7 linked regions of the Oryzias latipes genome follow. The protein of the gene in region 3 binds, or shares a complex with, the protein of the main gene of each other region. Links are inferred from orthologs where the notes say so. Each region holds a gene or a part of one and is shown on either strand. Other genes may lie near its edges.

Region 1 (4,587 bases), on a different chromosome or scaffold from region 3:
GAAGGCACATGATCATGCATTATTGTTTTGTATCTCTGTTTATCAACCCCTTTGTTAATCAGCTTAACTTTTAGTGACTTTTTGCTTTAAACATAAAACTTCAGTCACTGTATTTTTGTGTTGAAATCAATCATCCTAAATGAGAACATCTCAGTTTTCACAGAAAATAGTTAAACAAAGTTCCTCGAAATTAAGCCTTCCAACAACTGATATCTAATTCATTCGTTTCTAATTCAGACTATTTGTAATTAGTTTGACAGCACAAAGATCCCCGTTTTTTGGGGAAAAGTCCTATCATGAAATAAAGTTCTTTTAAGGTCATTTCCTGTTCTTTGTTCCACAGATGATCTCTATAGCAACACAAAAGTGTCACATAAGTCTGTTTGATGGGCCGTGTCCCAATACTGCCCCAGGCCACGGCAGGAAGGAGCATTTGCATGTGATGCTGGAGACTGGTGCATACGTGGAACTGCTATGATGCCACCTACCGGACAACTCTGGCAAGTGCACCCAAAAAAACAAAACTGGAAGTTGATTTGATTTAGACATAATCTCTAGTAAGTATCAACAGCCGCTGTGAGTCACTGCACTTCCTGTGACGTCTTTAACTGCCATAGCAAAATGATTTAATGCTGTAAAGTTTCAAAACAAACTCAAACATTTGAGAAAATTTCCTAAATATATTTACATGAAAGTCAAGTTTATTTTAATAATCAAACGTAAGATTGTTGACACTTTTATTCACAAAAATTCAAACAAGCTTCAAAACTGAATAAAACTGATGAGAAAACAATGAGACCAGTAGCTGGAATATCGTCCTCCTTTGCTGGAAAAGCAGAGTTTCTTCTGTTTGTCATCAACAAAACAAAAATACACAAAAAGGGTAAAAAATGGTTTAAAAAAAGTGAGAATCAGTATCTGTATTTAGTAGAATAATCCTTGGGAGAAACAACCAGACCCCGTCCTTTTCTGGCTCCTCGATACACCGTTTCTACAATGTCAATCATCTCCTGTTTGTCCTCCATGGGCCAGTTGATCTTGTTGTTGTTTCCAGTTCCCAAGTCAATCATGATGTGTTTGTTCCTGGAAAACAAACCAAAGGCAGGAGCGTTGGACATCATATATGATATGAGGACCTGTGTTCCAGTGATGAGGGTTCCTCACCTGAAGAAGAACATGACGGTGCAAGGATCGTACAACTCGTACATCTTGTTAAAGTCGGGCACTTCTGTGATGTCTACCAGGTAAATGACTGCAAAGTTCTTCACCTGAGAAGACAAAGGTGGCGGTTACTAGAACAACAAGGATCTGGACTTTGATTGCTGAAACCAAAGCTGTGACTTTAATGAAGGTTAAGGAACAGAAATTAATCTCCAAAACAGTCAATAAGATTTAGAGGAACATTAAAAACTAAAACTTCATTTTAACGATTCAATTCATATCATAATTTGTGGCTGCTGATCAGATTCATAATCGATATTTGTTTATTTTGAACGATCTGATTCTCTGGCCTAAGATCGATCCAGAACATCTTTATCCAAAACTTCAACCAGTGTGACTCAGAGATGAATACCTGGATACTGAACAGTACAGGTGACGTTTTCCAGATTCCTTATATTTCTTCAAGATAATCAAGTTTAAATTAATATGTGTACAAACAAACAAGTAAACCAGAATGAAAGTCAAATCCATTCACATTTTAGTTTCCTAAAGTTCAGTCCACTGTTGTTTTTCCACATCCAAAGAATCCTAAGGGAACAATATTACAACATTCTACCACACTGTCTGGTCACGTCTTTGCTAAATTCATATTGTTTCCACACATTGGACTGTTATGATGGTTGATCAGTTTTTGCTGACCTCACATGTGTGTTGTCCACCGTGATGCAATTGGTCGTTATTACATTACAGTAAAATAAACCTACCATGTCTCAATCCTAATTGTATTTTCCAATTTCAATTCTATTATCGATTTATCTCCTTTTGAAAGTATTTTAAAATGGTAGAGGCTGATTTGATGAGCTACTTGCCTCAGACAGATGGATCTGGTAGGTTCATAGGAAAAGAAATCGATTCGTCAATTAAGAATCAGGAAATTCCTGTTTTATCTGGAGCTTTTTGGCTGTTGTGGTGATGTTTTTCGTATGAATGTTTCTCCAAAACGCCATTTCTCTGTAAACCCTATGTATGTTGGTGCAGTGGGGTTTGTCACAAACTGCCGTCGTCTTACTGTAACCTGTGATTCAGTTAAATCTTCAGGTATGATCCTTCTTTCAGCAACTAACCAGAGAAGAGGGTTAAATCCTTAAATGAAATCTTTAAAGGATGACTGCAGACATTCAAACTGTTTTCTCTAACTGCTAAGCTTTCCTTACCCATTGAATATTTTCTCATGTTATGCATTTATTATCAAACTTGTTAACAGTCAAAAGCAGGGGGATTTGGGGACCAAAGGAAGGTGCAAATAATTTTCCCTTTTAATACTGTAACCAGACGAGCCCTTTTATTTTTCCATAGAAATTATGGTGCACATAAGAAGCTGATCAAACCTTTTCAGCGATACTATAAAGAACTTCATCCATCTTCATACACGTTGGGTCCCAGTCGTGTCCGAAGCGGATCACCAGAACTCGGTCTTCCTCAGACAGAATGGCCTGGTCCACCTGCCAGCCGTTATGGAGATGCGGTAGCATGTACGACATCTTGACCTAAAGATGGAGAATCCGAGACCGCCCCCGACCCAAAATTCTGAATGATAATGTTATCTTAAAGTGTTAAATAACCGCGGAGAAGAGGAGGTTGATGAATGCTAATGCTAAGCTAGCTGAAGAAAAATCTAGAAATCATGACAGCGAAACTTTAGAAGATGCGGAACCACAAACATGAACGAAAGAACCTTACCTTGAATTAGCAAAACTAAGTATAATGAAATAAAATTAGATTTCTGCTTAGATAAAATTACTTTGTTCTCTCAATAAAGAAAAAAAAATCTATCTTCAGCATCTAGAGCTCGTTCCTAACAACGTCACAAACTCGCGACGTCGTCGCAAAATGTCTACGTCAACATCCCACAAACCTATTCAGAGAAAACGTATTATTTTTTGTTCCTTTTTGTCCTATTTTATGACAAATCTAGTATTACTTTAACTGATGTTGACAAAAGTGAACAATTTAATAAAAACTACATGGAAGGCTTTAAATCGAAAGCAGGCTATGCGAAACCAGTTATTAAAAGAAAGATTTAGGTTAAAATGTCAAATTTAACAAGAAAATGAAACACTACATTCGGAAAGATAAAGGAAAGTAGAAAAATGTATACTTCTTAACACAACATCACCCCTTATATATTTCTTTATGTAGATCATTTTTCCCCTCTTTGTAGGATGAATAAGATTTATTCTACGTTGCCACATTTTCAAGGAAGAATTGATAGACAAAGCATTTTCACGTTTAATGTAATTAAAACCCCAAAAGAAAAATCATCCCATATGATCAATTTTTGGATGCCCTTGTTCCTCTAACCTTTTATGGGTAGAAATAATAGCTTCCTGTTAGGGATGCATGTGTACATGCACCACAAGTGAAAAACAAATGTTTATGGACTACTGCTTGCACAATTTTCAAAAGACAAGTAGCTGCACAGTATAGTTCATTAAGATTCAGTAAGTAAAAACGATTTTGACGCAAAAAAATAACTTGTAAAATCAAAACCCCCAATAATGATTTACCTTTGTATTTTCAATGTTTTATTCTCTTGTTGCTCCTTGAAACGAGTGTTACTTCCGTTTGAAAGTAGGCAGAGATACAGGAAACGGTTTTAAGCAGGAAAAAACACAGATAAAAAATTTATTGTGCAATTCATTACAGTACAAACAGAAAGAACGAACACAGTTCAAAGGTTATAGGAAAACTTTCCAGTCTTTAACATAGCAGCACATTATGGCACTCCTAAAGAGAGTTCAATTATCATTAGATACATCATTTTAATTTCCCCTTTAAGCTACACAGTCACATCTCTGTGGTTTTAAATGGACACATGATTCATAAAATCCAACTATGTTACACGATCTTATGTAGGACACATGATTGTTTTACAAACAACAGTGATAGTCAGCTTCCGGACTATCGTCAAACACTGCATTCACTCTTTAAAGCTGATAAAGACTGTTTTAAATTTGTTTTGGCTGTTTTTCATATTGCACAAAATCAGCCGTCTGGTCAAGTCTCTCAGCAGTCACATAGCGCTCAAACCCCCTTTCACCATTTTAAGATTTACAACTCCTCTGCAAAACACCCAGGTCTTCATAACATTTTGGATCAGACTCAAGGTTGCATCCTTTTGAGGCCAAAAGGCGGCTTGAGGAACATTCACGTTTGTCATGAAGACAAACAACTCCACCTTTGTTTCTTTGAAAGTCACAGTCCACGCAGAAATATCTCCAAAGTTCACTGCTTCTCTGTGAGGGAATACAAAAAAAGTCTTTAATAATCCCTGAGGAACGCTGATGCTCAGCTGGAACAGTGTTAGGATCCAAACAGGGCACAAAGTTGGCTTCAATGTGTCGAAGATTAAAGGTGAAGTTTTGC
Region 2 (3,533 bases), on a different chromosome or scaffold from region 3:
CACAAAAATGGATGTGAGATTGTGGAAGGCTGGGCATGCTTTTACATTTCAACATGTTGACGAGCCTTTTCTGCTCTCTCCCATAAATACTCCTGTGGAGAAAATATGTCTGTCCGTTATCCCAGAAGAAACATTATTTCAAATTAACATTGCATCTCTACCTCAGAGCATGTCTTATTGGAATATGTTTGCTGATGATATTGCATGGAAGGAGGTTTGGCAAACCCCTAATAAACGCTTGATCACCAATTAAGTAAAATAAGCTACTTTTAGGATTATCCACAGAATTTACCCAGATACAATTTTCATTCAAAAAAGATTAGATGAAACATTGATACATCTGTAGTTTTTGCTGCAATTCCCCTGAAACAGACATCCATCTTTTCTGGAATTGTCCTCAAGTTAAAGTGCTTTGGTAGAAGATTTGTGATTTCATACATGACAAAATTGATTCTTGTTTTGTTTTATTCTGGAAACATGTTTTGTTGGATCTTATATCAAAGGATACACAAAAGGACTCTGGTTGGCTTTTAAATCTCTTGCTCATGTTGGCCAAACAAAAAAAAAACAGTTACAACTTTTTTTAAATTGGTGGGTTTTTATATTATGTTCAGACCCCATTTTCTTTGTCTTTCACTTTTTTTTTAACTTTATTGACAATTGAGGTATCATACATTAAATAACGAACAATAACCATGTAATCAACATTACCTTGAAGATCAATCACCATTGCCAAACATAACATATTAACAAAAAAATAAAGAATAGAGAAAAACAAAAAAACAATGAACATAACACACAAATAAATAAAAACGAATAAGTAAAATAAAAATAAAATAAAAGAACATAGATCCAATCTAAATAGTCTAATACTAGTTAGGGGTACTCGTGAAGTTTGTATTTCTGAACAAAACAAAGCAATTTCAAGTCATTCTTCTTTTTCATATAATGAAGTGATTTGAAGTAAAAAACAGAGCTCTTTATGAAATGTTATAAAAAGTGTTTTGGTCTTCAAATATTTATTTTTGTGTATATAAAACTTTCCTTGCAACATCTGGATATTAAGAACACCAAATAGAAATTTTTCTGCGTGTAAATGAACTGGCATTGCAATTTTGGAAGAATACCAAAAGCAGAATTCCTCCCAGAATGTTTTTATAACTCCTTTGTCTTACACCTAAACAAACGTTGCTGTTCAAATAAATACTCCACGTTCGATTGCTTTTGCCTGCTGGACTGCGCTCATTTGTCGATTGGTCGGGCCTGTGCGGAAGCGTGTTCGTCAGTAAACATGGCAGCCACCCAGGGCACGAACCCGTCCCAGCTGCTCCCACTCGGTCCGTAAGCTTTAAATTAAGCCCGTTTTCTATCCGGGGTCTGACGGGGATTCACGCAAAACTCCGGGAAGTGTTCATGCGGGGGTCAGAGCCGGGGCCGCTGCGTGGTTTGAACGGTCTGACAATGGCGGGCAGGAGTTAGCAGCTAATTGTTCGTTAGCATCGAAACGCTCATGCTGTTAAAACTACGTTAAAGAATGACACTTTTTAAGTCTTTGGGTGTTTGTCTGATTGTAATATATTTAATTCATCGATTAATATGGTCCTGCCGTAAAGGGTTCGTAGTTGACGCGCTTTTTGAATTGCATAGCAATGCTGCAGCTAGCCGCTCCTTGCGACCGTGTTGCTAATTAGCCCAAAAGGAAACGTTTTCACCTCGTCATTCATTATCATTAATATTATTAGGATGTACTACTCTTAAGAGATGGTTTTCCTTATGTTGGATGCCTTGCGTAAACTTTATTTTAAACAAAAAGTTAAGTTACAGACACCTGTTAAAATATAAAATCAGTGTGGTTTGTAGACTGCATGCATGAAACTGAAATAACTGTTCTTCTTTCTTCAGAGCTTGTGGACAAATGCATCGGCTCTCGAATTCACATCGTCATGAAAACAGACAAAGAAATCGTCGGAACCTTGTTAGGTTTTGATGATTTTGTCAGTATCCTTCATCGATATTTTGGTATCAGTGTTGTGCTGTTTCCCTGTTTGGCCCACAGCCGCTCCTTAACTCTGTGTCAGACATGGTGCTGGAGGATGTGACAGAATTGTAAGTATCTTGTTTTCTTTTTTTTTGTGTACTTGGGGCTTGCTGTTGATGTGTTTTTGTTTTTCCAGTGAAATCACACCGGAAGGCAGGAGGATAACAAAGCTGGATCAGATCCTCCTGAATGGAAACAACATCACCATGGTGAGAAAGCAGTCGGTGGGAAGGATGGGGGGGGTGTCGCTGACCGGATCTCTCATCAGAATGGTTCTCTTTGCAGCTCATCCCAGGTGGAGAAGGCCCAGACGTGTAGATGTCAAGTTTTCTAAATGTACATACATCTTTGGTTGTTCTGGATTGATGTTAGTTTGCGGATTTCTCTTACTGGACATTTTGTTTTTAATATTTTTTAGTTTTGATTCTTTAAGGTTTGAATGAATCACGTCAAGGACAGAAAAGCTCTTTTTGTTATAAATAAACCAGATGATTAAACACAGTTTGATTTACAAGTTTATTATTCATAGGTTCACTTTAGTGCAATTTTCTTTCCTGTTTTTAAAAAGTGTTGGCATCCAACAGCAGTAATAACAGCTCACGGTTCATGAAGTCTAAATCTAAAGTTGCGCTCCTCCAAAACGGCGTACCGCTGCCGCCTCAGTACATGGAGGATTTCTCCTCTCCTTTTGGGTTGGTCACCTTTTCCAGGTTTTTGTTGATGATGTCGTACAGCTCGGCCTGAGGAAGTGAGAAGCTTGTTTGAATGAAAAGGTAATACACTTTAGCTATAAAACACCCCTAAAAACACATTTTCTTATATAAAACTAGGAATTTAACCTTTTTTTTGGTTAAAACCTTAAATACTTTCATTAAAATCCTACATCTGAGTGGAGGAAGATTTAAAAAGAACTTGTTTTAATCCAAGTAACTTCTTTTTTTTGTAAACCAAACAATTTATGCTACAAGAATCTCCAACTAAAAGTGAGCAAAAGTGTCTGGAATCCAAAGCATTTAGCGGCTGGAGCTTTGTCGTCTTACGTAGAAGCCGCGGATGTCGAGGAGGATCACCCTGAGGTCAGAGAAGAGCGCTCTGTCCTTCTCATGAACCAGTGAGCGGTAGTCCATCTGAGGGCAACACAACGACAGTTAAAGGTGTTTCAGGACGTCCGAGCCCATTGGCTACTGGGACATGATTGACAGAAGTCAAAGTGACGCCATGTAGGTGGAAGGTGGAGCAGTGTTTGTGAGACCGCCGTCAGAGTCGGAGCTGTGCTGACCAACGCATCATCTCAGATGCTCTACAAGCTTTCAGTTGTGCTAACTGAGTATTTTAGGTTCATTTGTCTGCTGCTATGTGTTTTCATGTATGTTTACTTTGTATTTATGTGATTGTGCTGCTACTAGAACTTCCTTTCCCTGCAGGGACTGATAGAGTTGATCTTAATCTATGTCCGCTGCAGAGCAGCGTCTGTTGTCGTGTCGTCCCTCCTGTG
Region 3 (4,692 bases):
AACAGTTTAATTTAATTAAGAGTCATCTACAAAAGGGATCCATCCGATTGGTCAAACGCGTACAGGGATTTATTTGATTCATTAAACCCTTCAAGGTGCCATAAGATTGTTTGGCGATAATGATACATTTGCAATTTATAGTGCAGGCTTACACCCCAGCATCTTAGAAAAGAAAAAACAAAACAAAAAAAGGCGGAGCAACACAGCCAAATATAAATTATTTTATTTCCAAATGGCATTAAAAAACAAAAAAGTTACAGCTATTGGAAAATGGCAGAGTCTCATCTGCAGGCTTCACTTTAGGCCAAACTCTATAGGAATGAAACAAAAGACAAAGATCCTAAACCGCCTCAGAAGTAAAGAAAATGTCCATAAACCCACAGACCTGCAGTTGGCCCATCGCCAACATCAGGAATGCACTCAATTCTCCATCGACCGGCGCAGTGTGTGGAGGCGGTTCACAGCGGTCTTCTTCAAACTGAACTATAAAGAACCCATGACTTAAAGCCCCCCTCCCCGAACCCGCAGCCCCGGTCACTGCTTCTGCTGCATGGCTTCCTTCCGAGCGGCGTCCTGAAGCAGCTGAGTGTCCACCTCGTCTGCCGGCAGCTGAACGTACCGGACCACCGAGCCGCGGATGAAACAGTTTTTCACAGACAGCTGGAGAGCGTGAAACACGTGAGACACGGAGTCAGGCAGGGCGCCTTCCAGAGGAAGAGAATGAACACATCCAAGGGGATTCAGAAGCTAACACTTCTCTTTTTCCCACCACTCTCACGGGTCAAATAACCACATTTACACTCACCTGCCACTTTATTAGGCACACCTGTCCATCTGCTCGTTATCACAAATTTCCAACCAGCCAATCACATGACAGCAAATCAATGCATTTAGACATGGTCAAGATGATCTGCTGCTGTTCAACCCGAGCATCAGAATGAGGAAAAAAGGTGATTTAAGTGATTTTGAACGCAGCAAAGCTGAAATCATCTATTAATAATGAGTTCTCTGGACTCGATGGTCTCCACAGTCACCAGATCTCAACCCAATAGATCACCTTTGGGATGTGGTGGAACGGGAGATTGGCATCATGGATGTGCAGCCGACAAATCTGCAGCAACCGTGTGATGCTGTCATGTCAATATGGACCAAACTCTCTGAGAAATGTTTCCAGAACTTTGTTGAATCTCTGCCACCAAGGATTAAGGCAGTTCTGAAGGCAAAATGGGGTCCAACCCAGTACTAGCAAGGTGCGCCTAATAAAGTGGGCAGTGAGTGTAGAACTTCTGCATATTTTTAAATGTTTTTCTGAAAAATTGTAGTTTAGAAACTCTGAAAAATGTTTCTAAATCTTTGCTGTTTACCTGAAGAACTGCTGTCTGCTCTGCCCTACACTGAAACTGAACTTCCAAAGGTGTGCTTCTACATTTCTCACCCAGCAGACAACTTTAAAAATGTTTGTTATACTGACAGAAGGAAATAAAAGAATAAAAACAACTGTATGTTTTAGAGGCCTCTATGCAAACTTTAGACTAAAAAGTAAACCATAGATGAGGACTTGCCATGTGTGGATACTTCTCTGGGTCTGTCACACTGATGTCGGTCAACTTGATGTTCAGGTACTAGATGATGACAAGAACAACATTTTTAAATTGCAAACCAATACATTGATTAATTAAAAAAAGTAAAGAATTAATTATTTTCTAACCTGATCAACAGAATGAAGCGTCCCACAGATACTGGGGGGAAAAAGAGAAAATGAAGCTTTCAATGCAACAGTGAACTTTTGATGTTAAATGACTTTCTGGGAATATGCAAATTTGTATTGAACAAGTCAAAGTTTTTGTTCAGTAAATTTATTTCTATTGTCAATGCTGCAGGAAAGTCTGTTTTTTCTTATATCCCACTCTTATCTTTTTAAAGCGCTCCTAGTGGTCTTTAAATGTGCTGTTTTTAGCCAAAAATAAAAAAAAAACCTGCGTCGTTTTCTAGGACAGTTTCTGCAGAGCAGCAGTTGTTCACTAGAAATTTGTCTGAGATCGTTGGTGCAGAGCAAGCCTGCCCCATCTTCCCATCATCCTTTGCTAACTTACAACCCCCCCCCCTTAACCCAACATTAGGTGTGCAACAAAAAAGAAAAAAAAAGTAATATTGGAGCAATCCAGCCGTACAGTTATTTGTGCCAGCTCAGACCAGGAAAACAAAGACGGACAAATCTATTTGCCTGCAAGTGGATGCATCAGAATGGAGCAGAGCAGGGAGCTTATGGCATCAAAACCACTTTTTTCATTTGGATGGGTTTTTAAAAAAAGTACCACATGTCTAAGTATCGTCCATCTGTGAGAGGAGCTAAGAATTATGAGTTACGTCTTTAAAGAATGCCCAACAACTAACTGTAAGCTAATTTTAATATTTACTTTTGAGCTTTCATCATGAGATGCAGCTAGTTTGATTGACCCCCCACCCCCACCCCCGCAATTGACCCTACTTCTTCGGGAAAAAGGTCTAAAATGAATTTGCAGCACGTTTGCAGACCAAGAGTTAGCTCAGAAAACTAACAGGAAAAAAAGTACATTTTTCACGCTGCTGGCACCAACCTATTGAGCCAGATTTGCAACAAATGCTGGAAGGAAGGGATGGCAACCCCACGCCACTGTGACCAGCATGAGATGCAAAACACCAGCTAGAAGGAAAGACAGCAACTCTGACAGAGTCAATGTCTCTGTCAATGCTAAGTAGCTCTTCACTGCACCCATTCAAACAGCGCTAGCAGAACCACGCGCCATTTTTAACCACAAACGGCGCTTTGAAAAGAAACATTACCAAACAAATTGGTATGTTGAGTTATCAAAACCAACCTGAGGTCGTTTTTCAGCTCCACCACCACGTCCTTCCCAACCAAAGACTTGAAAAACGAGTAGAAAAGCTGTAGATTTTTTTTAAAAAAAAGACGATGTTAGCACGATGATGGGCCGACAAAGCGGCTCAGCACACTGCGAGCAAACTCAGCGACAAAACAAAAGAAATTCAGAAGAATTCTGACACTCAGAAACCTAAAATGTTTGACTTAAACTAAAAAAGTACATTTTAAAATGACGATTTACGCCTTACCATTTTGGCTGTGGTGTTCTACAGAAGGTTTGGCTGCTGTTGATGACGTATCAGCCTGCGCCGTGTTTCAGCGGTGAGTGAGTACCACTTTGCGCCACTAGAGGGAGACACACTGTCGTTCAATGTTTATTAAGGAACTATCAGGTGTTTTTCATTGACCGAGATTTAAATTTAGGCTTTCACTCATATTTCTTTAAAAAAAAAAGACATAAAAAACATTATGAGCCATCTCTTAAAAAATTGAATAAAATATCAAAAGTCTAATTCAGATTTAGTCTAGCTTCTAGTCTAGCTACCAGACATGTTTGTGATACTTTTTGTACCTCAAAACTTTATTTTTTTGTAGTATGCAGACCTTTACTGTGATTTAAAAACACACACAAACACAAACCTGAAATGTCTATAATTTGCTGCAAGAGTTTTTAATCAGGATTAAGTTTGTTCCTCAATGTTCTTTTATAAATTACGACGGAGTTTTAGGGCCACCAAAAAAAAACAAAAAAAAAACGTAGGGTCGTAATAAAAACATAGAACCTAAACTATATTAATAACGATATTAATCTTTGTAAAGAAATTGTGTTTTTCTATACTGGTCAAAGGAAAGCATGCTTTTCATGCTTTAATGCTGAAAGTTTTCTGTATGAAAACTGGATATATTTATTGTTTACGTCTTCTAATTTAAAGAACCTTTGGTCTCCAGTGCCATTTGGAGTTTTATTCTGTTTCTTCTCCAATGTCTTTCTGATTTTATCTACAGTTTGATGCAATAAAAATCAGAAAATGAACACAATTGTGACCGTTTTGTTTCAAGAGTTCTTTCTGTATTCTGATGAAAGACCACACGGGGGCAGTGTCGAGCACTCAGATGTTTTAACAAATCTTTTCAGCTTCTTTACTCATCATGGTTTACGAACTTGATCTGAAACAGAAAACTCTATAGCAACGAATCACAACTGAATGTACACAGTTTTATCTTTAAAATAATTATTAATTCAAAAGTTCTTTTGTTTTGTTTTTGAGAAAGTTAAGACGTTGCTCCTGGGTCTTCTGTTGTTGACACGGGTAAATTCCACTAAATGTGCTTAAACTGTGGAGTGGACGGTGTCTCAGTGGACTCTAGTTCAGGATAAAAAACAAACAGGTGAGATAACTCTGGACCATTTACTCCTTTTATGAATTTTCCTATGTTTTGGAAATTCTTTTATTACAAGATACATACTTGATAGAGTGAGTCTTTCTGCAACTGTTAACTTAATTCATTTTCATCAAATATAGGGCTGCACAGTGACGTAGTGGTCCACTAACTTTACTCAACAGTTGCTCAGTTAAAGGATTCAGTGGGTTCTGAGGATGGATAGGTAGATAAGTGGATCATTAAAAGCAAAAACAGAGTTTCTCTATAGACTATCATGTAAAACTAACCCTATTCTAAAAAGACTTTACAGAATGAATAAATGTTGTCACTTGACCCTTGAAGTCACAACGAAACTGTTAATATCATCCGAGCACACACAGGAAACACATCGGAATCACAAAAAAATATAGTTATTATTATTCTTACTTTCTCTTCTGTAAACCACC
Region 4 (4,577 bases), on a different chromosome or scaffold from region 3:
TGATAAATATGTTTAGCATTTACTCTGGCTCAGTGTTTAGCTTTATGCCATTTGGATTACAGTCAAGCATCAGCTAAATCAGGGGTCAGCAGCCTGCGGCTCTCTGTGGTTTTTTAAAATAACGATCATGTCTAAGATTGCCGTGTCACACCTTTCACACCGTCGGGATGTGCGAGCGGGCAGAAGAAAGACAGCAGCGTGAAGACGCGGAGGGGGCGTGTCTGCGACAGACCAGAGTCTCTTATAGGATGGAAAGTTCTTCATGTTGAATGAGGTTGAATGAGAAGTGAATAAAAGCCTCATCATGCAGAACCTCTCCGGGTCGTCTGTCGACCAGCTGTTGTATTTTTGTCACCAGGTCTGAACCAGGAACGGGTCGGAACCAGGCGAGCTGCTCGTCCCTGTAGCGGTTACCCTGTGCTAACGACTACGGTCAGCAAGCAGTCAGCAAGGTTCATAAAAATAATATAAAAAAAAAAAACAAAAAAAACTAACGGGCTGAGTATTAGGTTTCTGATTAAAGTTTGGATTACACACCTGCGTCACCGCCACGACTCCCAACAATGTTCTGGGACAACAATGGAGAATTTTGAGAAAATTGAAGTTCCTCATGATGAATGAATTATTAATATGTAATGAGGAATTAGCAAACAACAAAGTCTCAAATGTGGCAAGACATTCCAGTATAAACATGCAGCTTTTGTCTAAAAACATCCAGATCCAGATGAGAAAATAAGTTGTTTGTTGACAAAAATCTATTGGAGAAGCAGATTAACTGCTAGTTAATTACAACATATTTGCTAGTTTTGTGGCCTCTCGGGGAAATGGTTCTCATCGGAACCTATTAAATAACAGAGGATGAAAAAAAAAAGAACGCAGCGCCCCCTGCTGGTTCATCACCGCGGTGATCAAAAATCCCACACCGTCACAGCTCAATTTAGACACATATTAAAGAAGCAGCCACAAAAACACATCTACTGAAACTATCATCATTCTCTGGAGCAAGGACGCGTTGAAGGGGAAAATAAAAACATAAGGCAGGAGACACCAAATTGATGAAGCAAGGCACAAAAACACAAGTAAAAAAGGTCAGTCCAACCTGTCCATAATGATTTCTGCGGAGGCAGAATGTCTTGGGGGAGGCTGTTTTTGCCGATAAAATCAACAACAACTGCAAATGAGGCCTCATTGTTTGCTATGCTGCTTTCATTTGGGACAGTTAAAAGAAAATACCTTTGGGACCTGAGAGTTCTTGGAAGTCTGTAAGATCAACGTGCCTTATAAAAAGGAAGCACGTAAGTTTTTCAGAGTTTTTAAATGTCTTAAAAAAAAGAACATGTTTGTGGACGTAAAGGATACAGAAATGTATAAAAGAAATTAATCAAGTTATGAGTGTAACAGCCATATCAGTTGAGAATCACAGATACAAACAAGATCATGTTAAAATAGAGGTATAAAATTGATCAGGAATAATCGGTTTATCTCTGTCAATTTCTCTTCTTTTTGTGCTTTACTCTATCGGAACGTCCAGTCACAAGCTTATTTCTACCAAGTCAGGTTAATTACAGTAAGCTGAAGGTCATCAATGTATCTATGAAGCGTGTTTTTGGACTGTGGGAGGAAGGGATGCACGGGGAGAACATGCAAACTCCACACAGAGAGTTCCCAGCTAGGTCTTCTCGCCGCGAGAGCGCTAACCACTGTGCCATCGTGCAGCCCTTATGTTATATGCCAAATGAATAATAAATATCTAGATTGTTTTCCATTTAGTCATTTGTCATCCTTTTAGATTAAAAGAAATTGGACTGTACCGGAAAGTTAGTTGAATATTTTATGTATCAATTCATAGACCATGTATCGAGATGCGCATCAATTCATTTGAGACGGAAAGATATACAACCCCACTCCAGAGCAGTAAATTAAATACAAGGTACCTATCTACGGCGGGCATGGTGCAGCGTTAGGGCGGTCGACCCATGATTGTAATATTGCAGGTTTGATTCCCGCCTTGCACACCCATGAGTCAAAGTGTCCTTGGGCAAGACATTGAACCCCACCTGGCCTCTGGTGGGAGGTTGGCGCCAGTGTTCGGCAGCGGAGCCGCCATCGGTGTGTGAATGTGTGTGTGACTGGGTCTGCGACTGTAAAGTGCTTTGGGCCTTGAAGAAGGTAGCTAAGCGCTATATAAGTATACGCCATTTGCCATATTTAAAAGACAGATTGATAGATAGCAAGCAAGAAAGGGCATCGTTAGTATTATATTAAACTTTGGAAATGTGTGTTGTACTCCCTGATTACTTGATTCACCTGAATTAAGTTAAAAAAACAAAAACAAAAAAAACACAATGGATCTAGGGGAAAAAAAGCTTTGCGATATCAAAGTACAGACGGAAAGACTCTCACAGACTAAGTTAAGTAGAGAATTAAACAAGCTAGAAAATAAGCAAAAGTAAAACCAAACATGTTGTGTAGTCTTTGTTGGATCTAATGGAATGCTGTATAAACATTACTTTAAGCTTTTAAAAATATAAAAAAAATAAAACGTCGTTTGTTAAAAGAGTGTCTAAACCGGACTTTAATTTGTTAATACGACGGTGAAATTCAGACAGAGACACATGATGATTCACCACACAAAAACTACTTTTATTTATAAGGATGCATCTAATAAACAGACGCAAACCGTATCACGCGCAGTTTACATGATATTATTCTTTCTCTGTAAAGAATAACTATATATTTGAGTCGATTTTCAAGTTACCCTTAAGCCTTAGCTAACAAATTTTAGCCATTTATTCAACTTTTCTTTTAAGCTCACTTACCTGACCGCCGATGGTGATGTCGAAGAAAACGATTGGATTGTTTGGGTTTGTAGGTTGAACAGACATAGTGATATTTTATACATACAACTTATTAACTTTAAATAATAGCAATGTTGAATTCACACGCCACTCATTTGAAAACCACGCACATGCGCAGTAAGAGTCTACGGTGGCTCGCCGGAGTCAGCGAAATACTTGCGCTTTTTTCCTTCAAACTTTATTGAATGAATACAAAAAGAAGGAAAGAAAGAATGAAAATCAGTGCTATGCGCTTTTTACCATGGACTGTAAAAACAATGGACACTATGAGGACAGTTCTTCTTTGTTACTTAATAATATCCAAAACCTCAGAACTATTGATGAAGAGGAAATTAGTTATTGTGGGAGCCTTCTCACGCTTGAGGAAGTAATTTGATTTTATTTGATTTATTTTTATTTCAAGCATTAACTGTAGTCAATACTTTTTTTTTAAATCACACAGATTGACAAACTAATTACAGAAATGATGAAAGACATAGATTAAAACAAAGACTCGCTTTTGTCACATTTGCTTAAATAAATATAGTATTCATTAATGTCAAATAGAGCTTCTTGATTTATTGCTTGAAAATGAGTGGGAAGAACAAAAGCATTCATAACCCCACCCTTTAAACTTAAACTAAAAGTAATGTGAATTATTTGCAATTAAGGACTGCTCAGTAGATGTTATCTGCAGTATAATGTTAAAATTAATAGGGCCAAAATTTTTCTTAAGAACCCCACTGCTATCTGGAACATTATACCATTTACAGATTTTTTTCTCTAGTTTTGGAGGCTTTAATTTTATTTTGAATTGTAACAATAATGTTGTGAAACTCCCAGTAAAACTCTCATCTTTCCATTAGCAGGTCCTCTTAGTGTGGAACCTAATTTTCAAGTATCCTTTTTCACCACACAAATATTTCATCTGGATTAACAGATTTTTTTCATTTAAAAAAAGATCACTCCACCTGGAGACCTGGACACAGAATAGGACCCTGCTGGTGGCTCGGCTATTCAATAAGGAGGGGCAGCTGCTAAACTACAATGTGTCCTTATCGCTATATAATTTTCCTGTCAGTCTACAAGAGTCCATAAACCTTGTGCTATCCTAGGCACTTTAACATTGGGAGTTGGGTCATCTAGACCCACTAGACAGTGCGCTGAACCTTTTTTCTTCAATGATTTGTGAACCTCACTGGTGTCCATGGATTACATGAAATCTTTCCACCTTTATCCATCTTTGTCATGGTAGGGAGAACACGTCAATGCAAGGGTGGGGTCATCTAAGATAGCACAAGGGTTAATGGTGCAGAATGCCCTACCATCAGGAACATTAATGCTGTTTAAAAACACTGATAAATAAGTGACATAGTATATTTTAAATTATTGTAATCAATTTGTTCCAGGTAACAACTGGAAAGTGGTGTGGAGGATCCCTCATAAACATTTAACAATAAATAAGGTGAAAGAAGTGTCTTTTTAAATTCTCCATAAAATTTACCCTGCAAAACAATACTTGACAAAATTTGAAAAAGATATTAATACTGATTGTTTCTGTGGAGATCATTCAGAAACTGTGACACATCTTTTTGGGTATTTGCCCACCCAGACGTTTTGAAAGGAGTTCAGTAGATTTATCATTCATATCTTTAAAGATTTCTCTCTGAGATGGGAAAATGCGTTACCCTGTGTTTTCACTATTTCAAAAAGAGCATAAAATTGTTTTATTGTCTATGT
Region 5 (4,541 bases), about 19 Mb from region 3:
GCAGGAATCCCCGTCTCCTCCCAGCTCCATCCGCTGGGATCCCGTTGGCCACACCTCAGTGTGTCCAGGAGCTCCAGGTAAACAGGTGAGTGCCTCACCTGACCAAAGATCTTAAAGAGCTCTAGGAGGATCCGCCGAGTTCTTCCATCAGGGTCCCAAAACCCACAATAAAACTAAGGTACAATTTATCCATGAAAACTAGACATTAAACGCCACATTTTTTTCTGCAGAATTTGATTTATTTTAACTTATTATTGCAAAAATTCTCCATCATTTAGAAAAACAATGTAAACATGGGTGTTAAGCACAGTATCCCCACTCTGCTTACAGCATTTCTAATTTAAAGTCGTTAATGCCGCAGATTTCTCCCTGTGTGCCTAAGCTTTCCCATTCCAAACACAAAAACTCCCTTCAAACTGACAAAAGCTCACTCAGGGTGTGAAAAGGAAGATGTGATCCAGCTCAGATCACTGCAAGGAGCGACTGCACCCAAAGATAAAAACAAACTCCAGCATAGGTTTTCCTTTTATTTTTCTTATCAAAAACAAACAGTAAAAAGCTCACGTTGTTCCTGCATAAAAATGAAAAGGTTTGCACTTCCGTAGCACATGAGCTCTTTAGAACAGAGGTTCCAACGTCTGGACACCACAAACAAAAGGGAAGTGCATTCAAAAGTCATTTTTACTGCTGATTCTCCAGCTTTCTTCCATTAGGTTGGTTAAAACAAAAACAACAAAAATAGAAACAAAACAAAGGTCTAACACTTCATGGGCGATTTAGCCGTCTTGCTGCTGTATGAAGGGGTTGGGTATGGCCTCCATGCCGTCCTGAGGACAGATCAGGACGACGGAGGTTCCTCTGCAGACCACCAGCCCCAGCTGCCTGGTGTCTTCTGTCAGCTTCAGCTGGTCGTCTGGATCTGCACACAGACACACAAAGGGATTGTAAATGCCAGAGGATGTTCATCTTTATGTTGCAGTTTTTGTACATTTAAAGAGATTTTTATTGCCGTCAGTAAATGTGACAAATGCTTAACAGAACAAGAGTCCACAGTTGATCCGATACTAGAGGAAAACAATATTACAATGCAAAGAGTTATTAGTTCAAACACAAAAACATTTTTTTCTAGCTAGTGGACTCTTAATGTTAAGGAAATGCTTCAGAATATGATAATGACCTATTAGAACCTATGCAAATGGGAGATAAAAACTTTGGTTTACGGAAAAACACGCCAAGTTTTTAATCGTTATTAAACGCGAGTTTGATGAATTATTATTATAGTTTTTAACTGGAGATCAATACAATTAATTTACTTAGTTTGAAGAGTGAAGGTGAAATTCTTACTGAAAGAAAAGTTACAATATTTAGAAAGGAGAATTAGAAGAAAAAACATTCTTACAAAAAACAGTTTTTCGCCATGGCGATCAAAGTAGCTCCAACTGCTCTTTGTGACATTTTAATGCAGCCAAATTATATATACGTTTAAAATGTGTTTACTTTATTAATCATTGTTAATCCGGCATTAGAGAGTGGGCTAGTGTTAATTTTCTCTCGACTTTAATGTGTCTTCATCATGAATGCTCATCATAGTAAGAAATAATGAGGTCATGTTATGTATTTGGAAAACAAAAGTCCATCTTGTTGATGGTTTTTCTGAAAAATATGAATAACCTTCTTTATGAATCTTTAGAGACATGATGCAGACATGATGCATTCATGATGACAAACAGGACATTTTTTCAAGATGGGGAATTGTGATTAGAAAACGCAGTTCAAAGTTTGATTAAAAACAAAACATTAAGTCCTAAAATACCTGTCTTAGACTACAGCACAATAAATCAATGTTTATTGAAAAAGTTCAGTCTCATTTTAATTTCCAATTTAACTTTTTTCAATTTTTATTAAAGCTTTAGTTTTTAAGAAATACACACTTTTGTAGAACTGATGAATTAAATTAACGCTGATGTTTTTCACACTTATTTACGAGTAAAAACTGCACAAGAACAGATGGAAATTCACGTATTAAGTTCAGCAAAGATGCATTTATCAGAGTCATTAGTGGTTTTACCCAACCCTAACCATTCCTCCAGGTCTGTGAGGCCAAGAAAGAAGTTCTGCACCGGCTCTACGTATTTAGAAAATTATGTGGGAATAGTCACTTTCATAAATTGAAGAAAAATAGAACTTTAAATACAAAAAATTGTAAATATTATAAAGGCGAACAGATTGGCTTCTCCTGTCTGAGAAGGCACGAGAAAATCGTTTAAAAAAAAAAAAGAAAATCTTGCGGCTTTGATGAGTAAATATTACATTTTTTAAATGGAGATCAATACAATTGATTTACTTAAAAAAACAGTTTGAAGAGTGAAGCTGATATTCTAACTGAAAGAAGAGTTACAGTATTTTTGGAAATGAAAAAGAATTAGAAAGTTTGAACCTCACAGCCTGAGTCCACATAACAGTATCAGTAAACCATGGACTAAATAACTCCTAACTACTTAATTATTAGTTCTCCATTAAGAAAAGTGGGTACACGTGAGTTTTCACTTACCACGCATGTACTCAATTGTACCGTCCAACACCAGGTTCAATAGAGGATCGAACCCTTTTAGAACTCCGCTGGCTAAAGAGGGAATAAACAAAGTAAATAATTATATTCTGACATCACTGTGAATATTCTGGTCACCACAAGTTACAATCTTTCGACAAGCCACCTACCCTCCCGTCCTCCTTGAAACTTCACACGAATTGGCTTGTCGATGTATTTGGACAAGTCAAAGATGCTCTCCTTCTTTTTCTTTTCTTTATCCTGTAAAGAAATGTCAGTTTCCAAGATTAATGCACAGTTTAAGGCGCAGACCCTTAGCCTAGCATTAGCTTAGCATCACTGACTAAGGCAGTAACAATTTCACAAATAAAACGGCCGTTACTTCAGAAATGTTATTCTCATTTCCTCAAGTATTCTATTACTGACTAACACCAAATAGAAAATGTTCGGTGAACAATAAGAGAGAAAATTAAACGAAATTATTTCGCACTCACCGCCATGTTTGAAGTGTGACCCGGAAGTTAAACTTTGACCCCAGATACAATTTAATAGCACCAATCACATCGCCGTAAACTCGCATCTGACGTCATCTGAAGTTATTTGCACTCAAAAAATAAAATAAAAAAATGTTCTTAGCTTTAGTTTTACTAAATAATTGTATTTTAATAGTAATTTTTAAAAAAACTTTTACTTTTCAAAGTTGACCTCTTTCTTAACTGCATTCTCCGGGCAGGGGCGTCTATTAATAAACAAAGTACACACCAGCTGGTGTGTTGGGAACCTACCGTAGTTGTGATCCAGAAACAGGACAAAGCAGTAGACTTGTTTTACTCTTTACAGTGACTGAAGTGAAGTTTCAGAGCTTCAATCAATCTTTTCCATGAGTTAGATAACACAATGGACGAAGATGGATATGCTTTTCATGTGGAAGACCCTGGGCCGGATTTTATTCCAGATGCTGTCCTACGGGTAGAGGAGGAGAACTTTTACGTCTGTCGGGAGCACCTGGCCCTTCAGAGTCCATACTTCAGAGCTCTGTTCTTTGGCTGTGGTGTGGAAAGCCGCAAAAAGCTTGTTGAGATCAAAGGTGTGGGTCGACAGTCTTTCAAAGTTTTGATAGAGTACAGCAAGACTCGCCGTCTGACTTTGGACCATGAAAATGTTCTTGGGATTCTTGAGACTGCAAACTATCTACAACTAGAAAAAGCCAGACTGCTGTGTTGCAAGTTCTTGGAGCGCGAGCTACACCTCACGAATTGTTTAGGAATGATGGCCTATGCATGGCAACTGGGCTGCTCTCAGCTTTATTCTGCAGCCCGGCAGGTTGTGCTCACACACTTCCCTGCGGTCTCAGCTGAAGAGGATTTTCTGTCCCTTTCCAAGGAAAGTATTGCTGATCTACTTGCCAGTGATGATCTGGCTCTCCACAAAGACGATGTGGCGCTTGAAGCCACCCTGCGCTGGGTTTCGTTTGATCCTAAACGAGAAGAACATTTTTTAGAGCTAATAGAGCTGGTGAGACCAGAGTCTCTCTCCTTAGCATTTATTACCCAACTTCTGACCAGAATGAAAGGTTCTGACCCTCGAGCAAGGCTCATCAGCAAGCTGAATGATCACTTCCCAGCCTCTTGGTCAGTAGGCAGGTCTTTGAGGCGGACCAAAGCTACAGAGACTCTCTATGTCCTGGGAGGGCCTCATGATCAGGAACAGCAGGCACTGTATCAGTTCCACCCTCTGAGCGGTAGATGGCAGTGCTGTGCACCTTTGCAGCAGAAGAATCTAACTCAGTACTCAGTAGCTGCAGTAGGTAATATCCAATTAAGATTAAAGAGAATGCTTTTCTTGAAATCTCAAATGTGAAATAAATGTATAAATTATATTACATTATAAATGTATAAAATAAATGTAAATTTAAGGTGTATTTTCCATTTAGGAAACAACGTGGTTGTGACTGGAGGCCACTTCAGAGATGTGCTGTGGTTCAGTGTGGACT
Region 6 (4,705 bases), on a different chromosome or scaffold from region 3:
GTTGCTAAGACTGTTTTAGGTGAAGTTTCCTGACCCCTGCTGGACTAAACTGGGACTGCAGCATGATGCATGGTTTTCAGTGCTTCTAGTTGGATCTTGTGCGTGTGCGCGTATTTACTGACTCCTTGCAAAGGGTCGACAGAGGAGTGGTTCTCTCCGCTCTGCAGGTGCTTGGAGAAGAAGCTATCAGGGACAGGTGTGAGTTTTTCATGGCGAGGGTTCCTTTGACGCTTGTTTCTTGCATCTCCAACTTCAGGGATGCTCAACCACTCCTCCTCTGACACTTCGGCCAACTTTCTCTAAAAAGGCAGAGGAAAACAAAAAGAGAATTGGAAAATATGTATGAATTATTAAAATAAAGTCTAATTATTACAATATCAGAACACAAATGACTAACATAGCACACCTACTACAGCACACTGGGAGACATAGCTTCAGTTTACAACATTCACAAAAATGAAATCATTGTCAAAAGCACCATCACTTCCAGCCAATATAAAGAAAAAATAAATGACAAAAAACTACTGTAGATTATTGTTTAGGATTGAGTTTGATTCTTTTTAGCCATTGATTGAATTGAACAAGACCGTCTTTTAAGGTGTGATGGATAAATGCAACAGAATACTATGACACAACCAGCACTAAAACGTGTATCTTCAAAATGTAATAATGCACAGGAATCCAGTGTGTATGCAACTCTTATCAGCAGCATCCACATATAGCAGATGGAAAGCTCAGTTAGTTAAGTGCAGTTCATAACGTTTGAGCTGATCGCTGATTATTTAGCAAATTGTCTTAGTGCATGGGAACAACCTGCCATAAGAAATCCGTATTTTGAGTAGAACTCCTGGTTTTGTTTATTCAATGCAAGTTTCTTTTTCTTTGAAGTCAAAGACTGTTTGACATCAATCAAGACTGAGTTACGGATATCAATCAAGTGGAGAGAATCCAGTAGTATTCTAAAGTAAAATGTGTAGAACCAGATAGTAAATAATCTGGAAATAATGTAAGTAGTGGATTCCATCTGTGCGGCCCTCAAGTGACCCATGAATCATTTAGTCGGTGTCAGTGGGCTACTTGAGTGCAGCATGTTTGATTCAGGTTATCTTTAGCAAGCCTCGCATTTACAAAGTCATACTGAGTGAACTGATATGTTGTTTTGATAACATATTGTTCCTTTAATGCTTGTTTTTTTTTGTTTAGTGGTTTAAGGGACAGATATGTATGTGAAAAGATTTAAACACGGAAAAATGTTTTTGAGATCCAAATTTATGCATTTTTGCTAAACATAATTTCTTCATTTTCATTTAAAAAAAGGCAATATTTAGAAACCAATACTACATTTGGGTTCCCGGTATTGGCATACATATCTCAACTTTTGGAAAGATCCCTCTCTCTCTCTACTCTAGCCAAGTTACAGCATCAGGAAAGAAATATCAAAATATCAACTATTACACTAAACCCATGTCTTTGCATTCTTGGCAACAGTTTAAAATCGAACAGAACAGTTTCAACACTGATGTAACATTTGTTTTACTTTAGCTCACACAACACAAACCTTAGAAGGCAAAAACCCCAGTAAATAGATGTTGGCAAAATAGAAATCCTTATTATCTGATTTAAATAAGTGTCTTTCACAATAAATTCCACCACTGGCTCTGTTTAACTTGTTGAAGTAACTGAGCTAATTTTTATGGCTTAAGCATAATTTAAAAGTATTATATGTCTTTAGACAAAGCTAATGAATTTAATGATAAATTAAAAAAGCTTATTGTCAATGTCAACTGAGAACTTTCATTTGATCAAAAGTTTTTTTTAAAAACAACAATGATTTGATGTGCAAGTGTTGTACCTTCAGATCGGAAAACTGTTGCTGGATTTTAGGCCTCTCCATACGATACTTTTCAATTTCTTCCTTTTCTCTTAGCTCTCTGCAAAAGCAAAGACAACATTCAACCCCAGAACACAGTCTTAACTTTTAACAGTGTAGAATAAAAATGCACAAATGGCACATGGAAAGCTGGAGGAATTTTGAGAGAAACCTTCTTTCTTTGCGTCTTTCGTCCATCCTCTTGTCCAGGGCTGCGTATATAGCATCTGCCTCCTCGTCATCTTTTTCATAAGGCCCGCTAGAGAACAAGCTACCCGCATAACCATTAAACTACAAAACAAACAAAACGACAGCAATGGTGTTTAGAGAAACAGCACAGTCGCAAAGTCGCTGTCAAACAATCCATAGATGAACCTCATCGTAGTTGGTGTCATTCAGATCTTCCTCATCCTCCTCCTGATTCTTTTTCATTTGGTCTCCCACGGTTCTTTTCCCTGGGGGAGCATGTCTGTCATCCACTGGGTCATTGGCATCTCGAGCAGGACCAATGTCAGACCGGGTGGTGAATCCAGTGGCACTAGAAGGGAATTTCCATTCAAACGTTACAGAATTGGACACTGTAGAAGGAATGAGCTAATTGAAAAATAAATAAAGGTACAAATACATTGCAAAATACCTTTAGTAATGCTGATTTTTTTTTTTATTATTTATGACACTGGCCTGTATAATTCACGTCAAAAACCAAATCTGTGTGGCTAGCCTAGCTAGTAGTGCGGTGCAAAAGTAAAAATCTGCCTCCTGAGTAACAAGATTCTTATGCTGGCACCCAAAAATGTATTCTTTCCGATGAAAATTTGAAAAATAGTGCCACAGTAGCTTTACATCACATAATATTTTATTGTTACAACAATGACAGGGTTATAGAAACAACAACACTTAACCAAAACAACCGGCTGCCTGGTTGCACGCAAAGCTACAATTTGCTACTACTAGCATCGGTTAGCTTACCCTCTGCCGAGACCAGGCACATATCCCAGCGGAGCGGGCATGCCCAGGAACGGCTTCTTCTTTTTCCCCATGAGCGGGGAGGCCAGGGGTATTATGGGAGCCCCGCCGCTGGCTGCCGTAGCCCCGGCGCCTCCCGCTGATGTTTTGGACACAATTTTGGTGCCTTGTTTAGCCCCAGAGGTAGCCATCGTTGCTCACACGACGAGGTGGATTACTGGCGGATGAACAACAGAAAGACTTCCGTTCCCATCAAAACACTGCCGTTCTAGAAATATCCGCTCCTTTTTTGTAACAGCGCCCTCTATAGGTCAGGCTCGTTACTAATACATTCAAAAAATAACTTTTACATTTTTTAAATTATTTTCTGGTGTCTGTATAATACGTTTATTTTACAGTTCTGTGATCATTGACCTTTGAATGTTTTATCGAATTATTGATTATGTTTTTCTAAATTGTAAGTTTTGTTTATGATTGCCACAAGGGGGCGGAAGTTTTCAATTTAGGATGGAGTGCTGCACAAGTGTTCTGTAAAAACACTAAAATGAAATATTTTGTTAAATGGAAATGGTTCGTCTTTAGAGTTCGAGAAAGTCAGTCAAACATCACAGCTTGCAAAGTGAAATTTCAAAGTATATGGACTAGAAGTTTAAATTTTAGAATAATGATATCAATTGAGAATCGTAAAAAACAAACAAACAGTAAAATGGGGTGTTGATTTAATTATCAAATGTAGTTAATGTGGAATATTGGTTTGTTTTTACATCAACAAATACCAAGATAAAACTTTGCAAATCTGAGAAGCTACAAAAGAATGAACCAGACAAGAGAAGATCAAACTGAGTCCAAGAAAAAACACAATTTGTGGTTTATTAAATATGAAATCCTAATAAATCTTAATTGGGATTGGAAACTCTAATGTCACATGAATATTGTATAAAATCTGAAAGCTTATTAAATCTTAATTGAGATTAACAACTTGGATGTTGCATGAATTGTTTATTCCATCCATCCATTCATCCATCCATCCATCCATCAATTTTCTGAACCCACAGAATCCATTTTGGTGCCAACCCAGCCACTTCTGGGCGAAGGCCACTCTGTTGCAGGGCCACACTCACTCGCACATCTAGGGGCAAATTAAGTAATCGATTAACCTATGAAGCATGTTTTGGACTGAGGGAGAAAGATAGAGAAAATCCACGCATGGATGTGGAGAATCTGTTTTATCTGAAGAATTATTACTGTTTTACTTGTGGTTTGCCTTGACTTTTCCAAAAACTGATTTCGTGATGATGTTGTCAATTTGTTTCAGCATTTGTTTGTGCCTTACAAATCAAACTGCACGCCTTGCCATTTGGGATTCATAAATCCTGCTTCAGCTGCCTTTGACTGTTGCTTTCAGCCCTCAGACCAAGAATGAGCATTTGCAGAGTAATAGAGGTGCGTTGATACACATTAGCTTGACTATTTCAACAAATTCAAAGAAAAATCTATTATAAATTAAGGCCTTTTAGCAAGAGATGCTGCCATCTTGCTATTCTAATAGAAAGTCCCTCTTGTATTAAATATTTGTGTTAAAAATCAACAGAATGCTACATTACACTTTTATTTTTTCAACAGACATTTTATTTCTTTTTTAGTTACAATAAAAGATTTCACTTTATGCACAATTCTTGTCATCAGAAAGGGCAAATAAATATGGCTTGCACAGACTTGACAATTAGCAATGCAAAAATAGAGAAGACCGCTTTCTAATAAAAGGTGGTTCTGTCCTCTGTGAGCACGCTGACTCAATACTTTTCTGTTATACCACTGTCAACTTCCTGTTGGGATGAGGTATCAAATATTATTACTGAAATCCATGCA
Region 7 (3,400 bases), on a different chromosome or scaffold from region 3:
GCTGCTGGATCTGAATGCTCTCGAGGGTCTTCAGCAGCTCTTCTTCCCGCTGAATGTGAGCGTGGTTCCTGGAAGCGAAGCTCTCCAGCAGCTCCAGCACTTTCACTATTTTTGGCACCAAACCCTCGACGCTCTCTTTACCGTATCCATCGATAAGCCTCTCCACCTCGGCCCCGATGAGTTTGGCGATTTCATAAACATCGTTGACTGTCAGCAAGGCGACAGTCTTGTTAAAGTAGCTCTGGCTCGTGTCTCTGCTCTCCGGGTAGGACTCCATGTCTGAGCCGCGCGGCTCGCTTCCTTCGTCGAGTGTTACTGAAAGCGACGGTGGCTTATTTGCTGCCACAGAAAATGAAAACTACGGAGGTTGTCGGTGCCCGACCTACCGCGCATGACATATCTGAACTTCCACCTTCTCCCATGCAAACATGAAGCCGGTCATGTTGCACTCCACTGAGAGAAAATAGCGAAGCTAGATCCTCCTCCGCTCCAGACCAACGCGGCCTGAAAGCTCAGTGATGCAGCGCGCCGAGACGAGACGAGACACCGTCACTACAGCTTAAGCCATTTCTGCAGGCAGAACGTCACTAATGATCTTGGTAAAACACCAAAACTAAAGCCAACTGTTCACAACACAATTGCACTTACAACAATAAAACACAATATCACAATGTTTAAAGAGTTTATAAAAATGAATCTTTATTTTAAACCAGGCTCACAATGTCACAGACGTGTAGTATAATAGAACACCAGAACATGGAAATGCCACTTTCACTTTTAGTTCCAAAAAGCAGAAGGGGAAGAGTGTTTCTCTGAATTGATGTCAAACACATTACAGAGTTCTAAAAATAAATGCATTCAAGATGAAATTCTAGAAACTAGGACAAAAAAAAAAAAAGATAACCAAACTTTTTTTTTTTTATAAGGACAAAGCAGTCATGGAAAAAAAACTCGAATGAAAGGAATCCTAAAAAAGGTCCTAACAGCTTTACATAAAACCTACCCGAACATCAGTGAAATATATTGACAGAAAACCGGCAGACTGAACTGATTTACATGATTCGGTCAGAAACCATAAAAAAAACGAATCTGGGACGGGGCGGCGACGCTCAACCGTACATGTCCTCCCGGTCAGCATTGTAGATCTCCCCCTCCTGCAGCGAGGCAAAGTTTAAAAAGTGTGACGGTCGATGGACTTCGTGGTAGAACTCTTTGGGGTTAGCCAGCTGCAGGTCGTACTTCATGTTCGGATCGTGGCGCACACCTGTAATACAATATGAGGCCTTTAAGTTTCATCAACAGGCGGAGTTTAGCCATAATAACCAAAAGAATAAATGTATGTAGAAATCTGATGTAAAATCAATGGAAGAAAGCTGAGGCAATGTCATGGTCAAATTAATTCATAAACGTTAAACATTTAATTCAAACATGAATAAATATTGAAGCTACAGACCCATGAAGTTGTAGTTCCAGGACACTTGGCCAGGCACCATGAAGAAGCCCAGGAATCGGTCAGAGAGCAGCATCTGCACTCGTTCATAGTGAGACGGCAGATAACCTTTGGGGTTGTTGCCTTTGTCTGTGTTCTGGCGACCCCACTCATATCCACTGGGTGTTAACTTGTATGCTGTAAGCGTGCAGGACCCCGGTGTGAAGCTGAAAACAAGTAAGGCACAGAAAACCATCACTTTTCTGATTAAAATGAGATGGGAGGCATTTTCATTTGAAGGAAATCACCTTCCCCCCCGCAATACATATAGCATTATTTTCCAGATTTATGGAAAAATGACAGATTTTCCTCCAGTGTAAACAGGAAAAAAAAAGAACAGAAAGGTAACTCACCTGCAAGTAATGATGATGGTCTTTTCTCCATCCCAAGACGGGTTGTCGGCCATGATCTTGGCATGGGTCGTCACATCTTGAGGGGACAACTGAGGCGACTCGTTAGGCTGTGTGTGGATCCACCCGAGGGGCTCCATTTCCTGTTCATTCAAGAGCATGTTACCAACCCAGCTGATTCAAACATCAAAAAGAACCCCCCCAATAATCCAGTGAACAAGTCATACCTTTAGGTATTCATGACCGGGCAGCTGGTTGGGAAGGTGGACAGTCTGATGGGTTCCCCACTGAGGTACCATGACGATGCATCGGATCTCCTTCACTTGGGGGTTGTCTGGTGGGCTGGTGCCATACAAGTAGCCAGCAATCTTAAACCAACACAGGACATGGTCAGCATTAGTAAGAGTAAGTGCTTTGATATAACACAAGCCAAGTTGTGTCAGCAAATAAAGACCTGCGCTCGGAGATCTGAGATGCAGATGAACTTCTTGAGAACATTTTTGGGCAGAATGTAGGTGTAACCAGTCTCCTTGATGTCGTCAGACGACACATAGATGTGGTTGGTTCGGAGATGGAGGTTTGCAGCAGATATAGCCCTGATGGAAAACAAAAAAGTATAGAGATCAAATGACAACATTGTTTGTATTTCTAATATATTTTATAATGAGGTAAGCCTTTAAATGGGAATAAAACTGGATCAAATCAGCAGGTTTAATGGTGCATACCGGACTCTCCACTCAGTTTTGGAGGAGAAGGTCTGGGTCTCATAGTTTGAGGTGGTGGAGGTGATTATTTCATCTCCATGCTTGTTGACAGTGCGAGTCTGCGTGGCTGTGAGCTGTGACTGCTCTTTGGTCTGCTTCTCGATCTCAGCGATTTGCTGGCGCTGTTGTGATGGAGCAGAGATCTCCATACCCAAGATGATGTCACGGATCTCAGACTGGGTCAGAGAAGCCACGTTCACACTGAACAGAGTCAAAAGCAGATCTTACTACAGAACATAAATCCATCTTTAATCTGCTCATGAGTTTAAAAAAAAAATCATTTCTGAAAATACTCAAACCAGTGGCTGAGCAGCAGTCACTTAACACTCACTTGTTCTTTTTGCCATAATCAGCCAAGATGAGATCTTTGAGTTGCACTTCCACCTTGATCCACTCTTCATCAGTGAGTGTGGGCCAGATGTGATGGGGCTCAGTGATGGTCGTTTTGTCGGGCTTCAGAATGACTTTAGCGCGGTCGTTGTTGACATGGAGTGCTCTGAGGATCAGGATAAGTCGGGAGAAGGCCTACAGACAGAGCAGGAACAGACAGGTGTCAGCACGCTTTGATGGTGGATCAGATTTAAGCCTTTATAGATAGAACCTCACCGTGTAAGAGGAGATTGTCTTCAGCCAATCGTCGTAGAGGTTGAACAGCACCATCTGAGGCTCTGTAGCCTTCAAGATCAGGTCTCCAAACTTCTCCACCTTCAGACAGGCCTGGAATGGCAGCTGCAGCTCAGAACCTTTGATCACGATGTTGGGGAAGTCGAGCAAGTGGACCTGCGTGGAAAGAAAAT

What was found.
Region 1: lsm2 (region 3) and txnl4a share a complex: the UniProt entries of both Homo sapiens proteins name them as parts of the precatalytic spliceosome. The link is inferred for Oryzias latipes from reciprocal best matches to the Homo sapiens genes LSM2 and TXNL4A.
Region 2: lsm2 (region 3) and lsm5 share a complex: the UniProt entries of both Homo sapiens proteins name them as parts of the precatalytic spliceosome. The link is inferred for Oryzias latipes from reciprocal best matches to the Homo sapiens genes LSM2 and LSM5.
Region 4: lsm2 (region 3) and ppih share a complex: the UniProt entries of both Homo sapiens proteins name them as parts of the U4/U6-U5 tri-snRNP complex. The link is inferred for Oryzias latipes from reciprocal best matches to the Homo sapiens genes LSM2 and PPIH.
Region 5: lsm2 (region 3) and lsm7 share a complex: the UniProt entries of both Homo sapiens proteins name them as parts of the precatalytic spliceosome. The link is inferred for Oryzias latipes from reciprocal best matches to the Homo sapiens genes LSM2 and LSM7.
Region 6: lsm2 (region 3) and prpf6 share a complex: the UniProt entries of both Homo sapiens proteins name them as parts of the U4/U6-U5 tri-snRNP complex. The link is inferred for Oryzias latipes from reciprocal best matches to the Homo sapiens genes LSM2 and PRPF6.
Region 7: lsm2 (region 3) and prpf8 share a complex: the UniProt entries of both Homo sapiens proteins name them as parts of the U4/U6-U5 tri-snRNP complex. The link is inferred for Oryzias latipes from reciprocal best matches to the Homo sapiens genes LSM2 and PRPF8.

Annotation. Positions count from the first base shown.
Region 1 is NC_019869.2:14,391,341-14,395,927, reverse strand, and holds txnl4a (thioredoxin-like protein 4A), read right to left. Parts: upstream 3,049-4,587; 5' UTR 2,902-3,048; intron 2,709-2,901; 5' UTR 2,703-2,708; coding exon 2,550-2,702; intron 1,269-2,549; coding exon 1,165-1,268; intron 1,084-1,164; coding exon 912-1,083; 3' UTR 721-911; downstream 1-720. UniProt on the Homo sapiens protein: Plays a role in pre-mRNA splicing as component of the U5 snRNP and U4/U6-U5 tri-snRNP complexes that are involved in spliceosome assembly, and as component of the precatalytic spliceosome (spliceosome B complex).
Region 2 is NC_019878.2:23,646,645-23,650,177, reverse strand, and holds lsm5 (U6 snRNA-associated Sm-like protein LSm5), read left to right. Parts: upstream 1-1,218; 5' UTR 1,219-1,291; coding exon 1,292-1,337; intron 1,338-1,398; exon of another isoform or gene 1,399-1,413; coding exon of another isoform or gene 1,414-1,453; intron 1,454-1,902; coding exon 1,903-1,998; intron 1,999-2,078; coding exon 2,079-2,106; intron 2,107-2,174; coding exon 2,175-2,247; intron 2,248-2,323; coding exon 2,324-2,356; 3' UTR 2,357-2,539; downstream 2,540-3,533. Other genes in the region: psme2 (proteasome activator complex subunit 2), read right to left, coding at 2,698-2,778, 3,079-3,165. UniProt on the Homo sapiens protein: Plays a role in pre-mRNA splicing as component of the U4/U6-U5 tri-snRNP complex that is involved in spliceosome assembly, and as component of the precatalytic spliceosome (spliceosome B complex).
Region 3 is NC_019862.2:27,136,534-27,141,225, reverse strand, and holds lsm2 (U6 snRNA-associated Sm-like protein LSm2), read right to left. Parts: upstream 3,233-4,692; 5' UTR 3,115-3,232; coding exon 3,112-3,114; intron 2,927-3,111; coding exon 2,859-2,926; intron 1,740-2,858; coding exon 1,709-1,739; intron 1,623-1,708; coding exon 1,563-1,622; intron 661-1,562; coding exon 535-660; 3' UTR 206-534; downstream 1-205. UniProt on the Homo sapiens protein: Plays a role in pre-mRNA splicing as component of the U4/U6-U5 tri-snRNP complex that is involved in spliceosome assembly, and as component of the precatalytic spliceosome (spliceosome B complex).
Region 4 is NC_019865.2:7,775,931-7,780,507, reverse strand, and holds the start of ppih (peptidyl-prolyl cis-trans isomerase H), read right to left. Parts: upstream 2,995-4,577; 5' UTR 2,886-2,994; coding exon 2,820-2,885; intron 1-2,819. UniProt on the Homo sapiens protein: PPIase that catalyzes the cis-trans isomerization of proline imidic peptide bonds in oligopeptides and may therefore assist protein folding. Participates in pre-mRNA splicing.
Region 5 is NC_019862.2:8,272,328-8,276,868, forward strand, and holds lsm7 (U6 snRNA-associated Sm-like protein LSm7), read right to left. Parts: upstream 3,156-4,541; 5' UTR 3,049-3,155; coding exon 3,043-3,048; intron 2,810-3,042; coding exon 2,719-2,809; intron 2,624-2,718; coding exon 2,552-2,623; intron 920-2,551; coding exon 777-919; 3' UTR 508-776; downstream 1-507. Other genes in the region: kelch-like protein 24, read left to right, coding at 3,446-4,355, 4,482-4,541. UniProt on the Homo sapiens protein: Plays a role in pre-mRNA splicing as component of the U4/U6-U5 tri-snRNP complex that is involved in spliceosome assembly, and as component of the precatalytic spliceosome (spliceosome B complex).
Region 6 is NC_019865.2:15,467,427-15,472,131, forward strand, and holds the start of prpf6 (pre-mRNA-processing factor 6), read right to left. Parts: upstream 3,078-4,705; 5' UTR 3,028-3,077; coding exon 2,840-3,027; intron 2,409-2,839; coding exon 2,246-2,408; intron 2,162-2,245; coding exon 2,043-2,161; intron 1,932-2,042; coding exon 1,853-1,931; intron 300-1,852; coding exon 123-299; intron 1-122. UniProt on the Homo sapiens protein: Involved in pre-mRNA splicing as component of the U4/U6-U5 tri-snRNP complex, one of the building blocks of the spliceosome.
Region 7 is NC_019871.2:16,926,830-16,930,229, reverse strand, and holds the end of prpf8 (pre-mRNA-processing-splicing factor 8), read right to left. Parts: intron 3,384-3,400; coding exon 3,210-3,383; intron 3,129-3,209; coding exon 2,935-3,128; intron 2,805-2,934; coding exon 2,565-2,804; intron 2,436-2,564; coding exon 2,294-2,435; intron 2,208-2,293; coding exon 2,067-2,207; intron 1,983-2,066; coding exon 1,843-1,982; intron 1,657-1,842; coding exon 1,454-1,656; intron 1,265-1,453; coding exon 1,110-1,264; 3' UTR 674-1,109; downstream 1-673. Other genes in the region: RILP-like protein 1, read right to left, coding at 1-277. UniProt on the Homo sapiens protein: Plays a role in pre-mRNA splicing as core component of precatalytic, catalytic and postcatalytic spliceosomal complexes, both of the predominant U2-type spliceosome and the minor U12-type spliceosome.